Anolis sagrei: one gene and its partner. The protein of the gene in region 1 interacts with the protein of each later gene in a biochemical or structural test. Links are inferred from orthologs where the notes say so. Each region holds a gene or a part of one and is shown in the gene's direction. Other genes may lie near its edges. The genes, in order: MYO18A and GOLPH3.

Region 1 (3,926 bases):
CAGGAGTGAAAAAGGTGGGAAGGTGTGAGGAAGGTATAGAAGCAACAATAACAACAACAACGGAATGTGGGAGGAAAGTGTGGTTGTGTAGAAATAGTATCAATAGAGAAAAGTGTCAGGAAGTTGTAGGGTTCAGAATGTTCTTTGATTGTAGGTGAACTGTGAATCCCAGTGACTACAACTCCCAAATATCAAACTCCATCTGTGTTCATATTTGGGCGTATTGAGTGCTTGTGCCAAGTTTGATCCAGATCCATCATTGTTTGAGTCCACAGTGCTCTCTGGATGTAGGTGAACTACAACTCCCAAACTCAAGGTCAGTGCCCACCAAACCCTTCCAGTGTTTTCTCCTGGTCGTGGGAGTTCTGTGTGCCAAGTTTGGTTCAATTCTATCGTTGGTGGAGTTCAGAATGCTCCTTGATTGTAGGTGAACTATAAATCCCAGCAACTACATCTCCCAAATGACAAAATCATAAATTTTTGAGTGATGATCACTCCTTGTGTTGTGAGACGTTTTGTTGCCAAATTTGGTGTGATTTCGTTCATTGGTTCTTTTGTTTTTAAGGTACTCATTATGCAGTGAGTATTTATATATATATATATGTCATATATACTCATAATTAATAATAAAGGTGTGTGTTTGTGTAGAACTATTATATCATATAATAATAATAATGGTGTGTGATTGTCTAGAACTATATATATATATATATATATATATATAATTAATAGTAGAGGGAGGAGGGAGGAAGGTGTGTGGTTATGTAGAATTATGATGATGATGATGATTATTATTATTGCTATTACAAAAGGGTTTTGGATAATGTTAATAATAATAAGGCTAAGAAGAATTCTTCTTTTCCTTCCTCAGGGGGCGGAGCCAACGGAGGAGGCGGAGCCAGTGGCATTCATTGAAGGGGCGGAGCCAATGGAATCAACAAAGGGGGCGGAGCCAGTGGCATTCATTGAAGGGACGGAGCCAATGGAATCAACAAAGGGGGCGGAGCCAGTGGAATTCATTGAAGGGGCGGAGCCAATGGAATCAACAAAGGGGGCGGAGCCAATGGACTCAACGGAGGAGGCGGAGTCAAAGGAGGGGGTGGAGCCCTGCGAGGAGAGGGCGGAGCTAGCGGAAGGGGCGGGGCTTGTGTGAGGCCTGCCTTTCCCGGCTTGGGCCTGCCTCTTTCCTCCGCCTTCGCCGGCTCACAGGCCCGCCCGGGAAGGAGAAGGAGAAGCCGAGGAGGAGGAGAAGCCCAAGACAACGCCGCCACCCCGGTGAGGAGCCCACCTGGGAGCGGGAGGAGGAGAAGGGGAAGGGAGGGAGCTTTCCTGGGTGTGAGCCTTTCCCTCACATCCACACACACTCGGGTAGGTGGGTGGGTGGGCCCACACACAACTTCAAAGGCCTCCCTCCCTCCCTCCCCTTTTGCACACCTGGCAGCACACCTGCCTTCTTCACCTTCTTCAGAACAGAAGCTCAAAAGGAGGAGGAAAAGGTGGCCTCTGAGCATGTGAAGAGAGAGGGAGAGAGAGATGGGAGGGGAAAGGAGCAAGGTGTGTGGTTTGTGCACAGAAAAGGAAAAGCATGGGTGGGGTGTTGTGGTGGTTGCAAGGGGCCTGGTCCAGCCTCCTTTAGGCTTATAAACTGAACACAATAATAATAATAATAATAATAAACTATATATATATACACATACACACACTACCCAGTCTGTGTATATGTGTTTTGTGTGTATGGCCCAGTCTGTGTAAATGTGTTTTGTGTGTGTATATATTTGTGTGTTGTTGTGATTGCAATAGGCCTGGTCCAGCCTCCTTTAGGCTTGTAAACTGAACACAATAATAATAATAATAATAATAATAATAGTAAATATAATAGTAAATATAATAATAAATATAATAATATAATATAATAATATAATATAAATAATAATTATTATATATATACTAGCTGCCATGCATTGCTGTGGCCCAGTCTGTGTATATCTCTGTGTGTGTGTGTATTTGTGTGTTGTTGTGATTGCAAGAGGCCTGGTCCAGCCTCCTTTAGGCTTGTAAACTGAACATAATAATAATAATAATAATAATAATAATAATATAATTATAATATAAATAATAATAATCTATATATATACTAGTCGTCCCCTGCCACGCAATGCTGTGGCCCAGTATGTGTAATAATACATAATCATCATCATCATCATAGAATCAAAGAGTTGGAAGAGACCTCATGGGCCATCCAGTCCAACCCCATTCTGCCAAGAAGCAGGAATATTGCATTCAAAGCACCCCTCATCATCATCATCTATATATATGCTAGCCATCCCCTGCCACGCATTGCTGTGGACCGGTCTGTGTATATGTGTTTTGTGTGTGTGTATATATTTGTGTGTTGTTGTGATTGCAATAGGCCTGGTCCAGCCTCCTTTAGGCTTGTAAACTGAGGATAATAGTAATAATAGTAATAATAATAATAGTAAATATAATAATAAATATAATAATATAATATAAATAATTATTATTATATATATACTAGCTGCCATGCATTGCTGTGGCCCAGTCTGTGTATATCTCTGTGTGTGTGTGTATTTGTGTGTTGTTGTGATAGCAAGAGGCCTGGTCCAGCCTCCTTTAGGCTTGTAAACTGAACATAATAATAATAATAATAATAATAATAATAATAATAATAATAATATAATTATAATATAAATAATAATAATCTATATATATACTAGTCGCCCCCTGCCACGCGATGCTGTGGCCCAGTATGTGTAATAATACATAATCATCATCATCATCATAGAATCAAAGAGTTGGAAGAGACCTCATGGGCCATCCAGTCCAACCCCATTCTGCCAAGAAGCAGGAATATTGCATTCAAAGCACCCCTCATCATCATCATCATCTATATATATACTAGCCATCCCCTGCCACGCATTGCTGTGGACCGGTCTGTGTATATGTGTTTTGTGTGTGTGTATATATTTGTGTGTTGTTGTGATTGCAATAGACCTGGTCCAGCCTCCTTTAGGCTTGTAAACTGAACATAATAATAATAATAATAATAATAATAATAATAATAATAAAAACTATGTAATATAAATTATATATATATATATATATATATATATATATATACACTAGCCGTCCCCTGCCACGTGATGCTGTGGCCCAGTCTGTGTATATGTGTTTTGTATGTGTATATATTTGTGTGTTGTTGTGATTGCAATAGGCCTGGTCCAGCCTCCTTTAGGCTTGTAAACTGAACATAATAATAATAATAATAATAATAATAATAATAATATGTAATATAAATAATAATAATAATAATAATAATATATATACTAGCCGTCCCCTGCCACATGATGCTGTGGCCCAGTCTGTGTATATGTGTTTTGTGTGTGTATATATTTGTGTGTGTTCAGACTTGTAAACTGAACATAATAATAATAATAATAATAATAATAATAATAAATATATATTTATATATACTCTCTCTCTCGCTCTCTACCCAGTCTGTGTATATATGTTTTGTGCGTTTGGCCCGGTCTGTGTATATGTGTTTTGTGTGTGTGTATATATATGTGTATATATATTTGTGTGTTGTTGTGATAGCAATAGGCCTGGTCCAGCCTCCTTTAAGCTTGTAAACTGAGCATAATAATAATAATAATAAATATATAATATAAATAATAGCCATCCCCTGCCACGTGATGCTGTGGCCCAGTCTGTGTATATGTGTTTTTTGTGTGTGTTCAGACTTGTAAACTGAACATAATAATAATAATAATAATAATAATAATAAATTATATATATATATATACTCTCTCTCTCTCTCTCTCTCTCTCCAGTCTGTGTATATGTGTTTTGTGTGTTTGGCCCAGTCTGTGTATATGTGTTTTGTGTGTGTGTATATGTGGGTGTGT
Region 2 (3,926 bases), on another chromosome or scaffold:
GGCATCCTTGAAGTGACTGGACTGACCTTGAAGGAGCTGGGGGTGGTGACGGCCGACAGCCCTGGCGTGGCCTGGTCCATGAGGTCACGAAGAGTTGGGAATGACTGAATGAATGAACAATAACAAAACGCGTGTCAGTGGATGGCTAGTACATAGACAGATGTAGATATAGACCTTGAAGGAGCTGGGGGTGGTGACAGCCGAAAGGGAGCTCTGGCGTGGACTGGTCCAGGAGGTCATGAAGAGTCGGAGACGACTGAACGAATGAACAACAACAAGAAATAGACCTTGAAGGAGCGGGGGGTGGTGACGGCCGACAGGGAGCTCTGGCGTGGGATGGTCCATGAGGTCACAAAGAGTCGGGAACGACTGAACGGATGAACAATAACAAAACGTGTGGCAGGGGACGGCTAGTATATAGATAGATGTAGATATAGACCTTGAAGGAGCTGGGGGTGGTGGCGGCCGACAGGGATCTCTGGCGTGGGCTGGTCCATGAGGTCACGAAGAGTCTGGAACGAATGAACAATAACAAAACGCATGGTAAGGGATGGCTAGTATATAGATAGATGTAGATATAAACCTTGAAGGAGCTGGGGGTGGTGGCGGCCGACAGGGATCTCTGGCGTGGGCTGGTCCATGAGGTCACGAAGAGTCTGGAACGAATGAACAATAACAGAACGCATGGCAGGGGATGGCTAGTATATAGATAAATGGAGATACAGACCTTGAAGGAGCTGGGGGTGGTGACGGCCGACAGGGAGCTCTGGCGTGGGCTGGTCCATGAGGTCACGAAGAGTCGGAGACGACTGAATGAATGAACAATAACAAAACGTGTGGCAGGGGACGGCTAGTATATAGATAGATGTAGATATAGACCTTGAAGGAGTTGGGGGTGGTGACGGCCGACAGGGAGCTCTGTCGTGGAGAGTCGGGAACGAATGAACGAATGAACAACAACAAAAGATGTAGTCAAACACATACAGAGTTTGTGTGCATCTGTGTTTGTTTGTACTTCTTTAAATGCAACACCATCTTGCAGGAGGAAAGGGAAGGCGTCTAGCTTACCTCAGCTTGGCTTGGGCAGAACCTGAGGGGAAGACCTGGGGGCGTGTTGTGTTGTGGTTGCTGCCTGAGAGGCCTGTGAAGCCGGCCTTCCTCCTCCTCCTCCTCCTCCTCCTCCAGCTCCCCCTCCCTGCTGCCACATCCTCCTCCTCCTCCTCCTCCTCTTCTGGCGTCAGCGGAGGGAAGCCTGGTCCGCCATATTGGAAGAGAAGCCTTCGCTGCCGCCGCCGTCGCTTGGCTCCTGAGGAGAGCGCGGGCCGGGCCTCTGCCTCAGCCTCCCTCTCTCCTTCCTTCTTCTCCCCTTCCCTCTCCCCTCCGCCATGACTTCGCTGACCCAGCGCAACTCGGGCCTAGTCCAGCGCCGCACCGAGGCCTCCCGCAGCGCCGCCGACAAGGACCGGGTGGCCGGGGGAGGCCTGGGCGGAGGAGGAGGCGGCGGGGGGCCCGGCTCCGGAGGAGGCCCCGAGGAGGACGGGCGGAGGGACGACGCCGGCGACGAGGAGAAGGGCGACTCCAAGGAAACGCGGCTGACGCTCATGGAGGAGGTGCTGCTCCTGGGCCTCAAGGACCGAGAGGTGCGCCCACCAACACCACCACCACCACGACGCCGGGCTCGCCTGGACAAGCAGGCCGCATTGCGGGGGGGGGGGGGGGCTTGACTCCAGAGCAGGCCTGGGCCAACTTCGGCCCTCCCTACAGGGGGTTTGGACTCCAACTCCCACAATTCCTAGGAATTGTGGGAGTTGGAGTCCAAACCCCCTGGAGGGAAGGCCGAAGTTGGCCCAGGCCTGGATGCATTGACACCATACAATTAAGGCACTTTTCACATGTTATGGAATTATGGGAGTTGTAGTTTGGTGAGGCACTAGCACTCTTTGGCACAGCTTTTTTGGGGGGGGGGGACTCAAGAACAGGCCTGGGCCAACTTCGGCCCTCCCTCCAAGGGTTTTGGACTTCAACTCCCACAATTGTGGGAGTTGAAGTCCAAAACCCCTGGAGGGAGGGCTGAAGTTGGCCCAGACCTAGATGCATTGACAACATACAATGAAGGCACTGTATTGTCGAAGGCTTTCATGGCTGGAATCACTAGGTTCTTGTAGGTTTTTTCGGGCTATAGGGCCATGTTCTAGAGGCATTTCTCCTGACGTTTCGCCTGCATCTATGGCAAGCATCCTCAGAGGGAGTGAGGTCTCAGAGGCAGTGAGGACCTCACTGCCTCTGAGGATGCTTGCAATAGATGAAGGCGAAATGTCAGGAGAAATGCCTCTAGAACATGGCCCTATAGCCCGAAAAAACCTACAAGAACCTAATGAAGGCACTTTTGACATGACTTTAACTGTTACGGAATTCTGGGACTTGTAGTTTGGTGAGGCACCAGCACTCTTTGCAGATAAGGCCGCATTTGGAGGGCTTTTTGGGGGACAAGACTCCAGAGCAGGCCTGGGCCAACTTCGGCCCTCACTCTAGGTTTTGGACTTCAACTCCCACAATTCCTAACAGCCTATCGGCTGTTAGGAATTGTGGGAGTTGAAGTCCAAAACCCCTGGAGGGAGGGCCGAAGTTGGCCCAGACCTGGATGCATTGACACCATACAATTAAGGCACTGGGTTGTTGTAGGTTTTTTTGGGCTTTATGGCCATGGTCTAGAGGCATTCTCTCCTGATGTTTCGCCTGCATCTATGGCAAGCATCCTCAGAGGTGAGGTCTAATGTGTCATGCCATCTCATGATGCTTGCCATAGATGCAGGCGAAACGTCAGGAGAGAATGCCTCTAGACCATGGCCATATAGCCCAAAAAAACCTACAACAACCCAGTGATTCCGGCCATGAAGGCCTTCGACAATAAAGGCACTTTTGACATGACTTTAACTATTATGGAATTCTGGGAGTTGTAGTTTGGTGAGGCTGAGTTTTCCAGGTTGCATGGTTATGTGGCAGGAACATTCTGTCCTGATGTTTTGCCTACATCTGTGGCAAACATCCACAGAGGTGTGTTCAGGGGTCTGTGGGAATGAGGCAAGTGGAGTGTCTATCTATCTATAGATATAGATATGGGAGGGTCCTCAAGTGGTGCAGTGGGTTAAATTGCTGAGCTGCTGAACTTGCTAACTGAAAGGTCGATTGTTTGTTTATTTATTTATTTGCAGTATTTATATTCCACCCTTCTTCGCTTCTCTTCACTTCACTTTATTTCTTAATTAGTCGCTCTCCACCAAGGTGCTCTGAGCGACTTACAATCTAAAATAGCATTTACACAATATAAAAACATTCAACATAAAAACATTCCATAGTGACTATTTGGCAAATTAGGTCTGATTACTTAAATGCACAGCCAAACAGCCAAACAGCCTTCTCACCCTGCAGGGGACTCAGGGCGGATTACAATGTACATATGCATGGCAAACATTCAATGCCATAGACACACAACATATATAGACAGACACACAGAGACTACTTAACATTCCAGCTTTGATGAGAGTATTCTGGCCACCAGGGGAGCTGTCACTTCACCGTCCATTTGTGACACTGATGAAGTACTTTCTCATTCTTTGCATGCTTACTGAAGATTTTTATGGTGTCGTAAATTAGTTAAATTAACCTCCCTGCTTACATGGTACCTAAATTTCCTACTTGACCTATGCAACTGTCTTTCGGGCTGCAAAGGTCGACCGCAAGCCACACAAATTGGTCAGAAGCTCACTCCGACCTGGGCTAACTCTGAACTCATGACCTTTCGATCGGTAGTGATCTTAATGCAGCTGACTCCGCAGCCAGCTGCGCCACAGTACCAGTGCAAATCTGGAGAAGTGGGTGAGCTCCTATTGTTAGCCCCAGCTTCTGCCAACCTAGCAGTTCAAAAA

Evidence for each region.
Region 2: the proteins of MYO18A (region 1) and GOLPH3 form a complex in vitro, tested with the Homo sapiens proteins (2 studies listed by IntAct). The link is inferred for Anolis sagrei from reciprocal best matches to the Homo sapiens genes MYO18A and GOLPH3.

Annotation. Positions count from the first base shown.
Region 1 is NC_090031.1:34,158,362-34,162,287, forward strand, and holds the start of MYO18A (unconventional myosin-XVIIIa), read left to right. Parts: upstream 1-1,130; 5' UTR 1,131-1,275; intron 1,276-3,926.
Region 2 is NC_090022.1:281,124,247-281,128,172, forward strand, and holds the start of GOLPH3 (Golgi phosphoprotein 3), read left to right. Parts: upstream 1-1,216; 5' UTR 1,217-1,385; coding exon 1,386-1,640; intron 1,641-3,926. UniProt on the Homo sapiens protein: Phosphatidylinositol-4-phosphate-binding protein that links Golgi membranes to the cytoskeleton and may participate in the tensile force required for vesicle budding from the Golgi.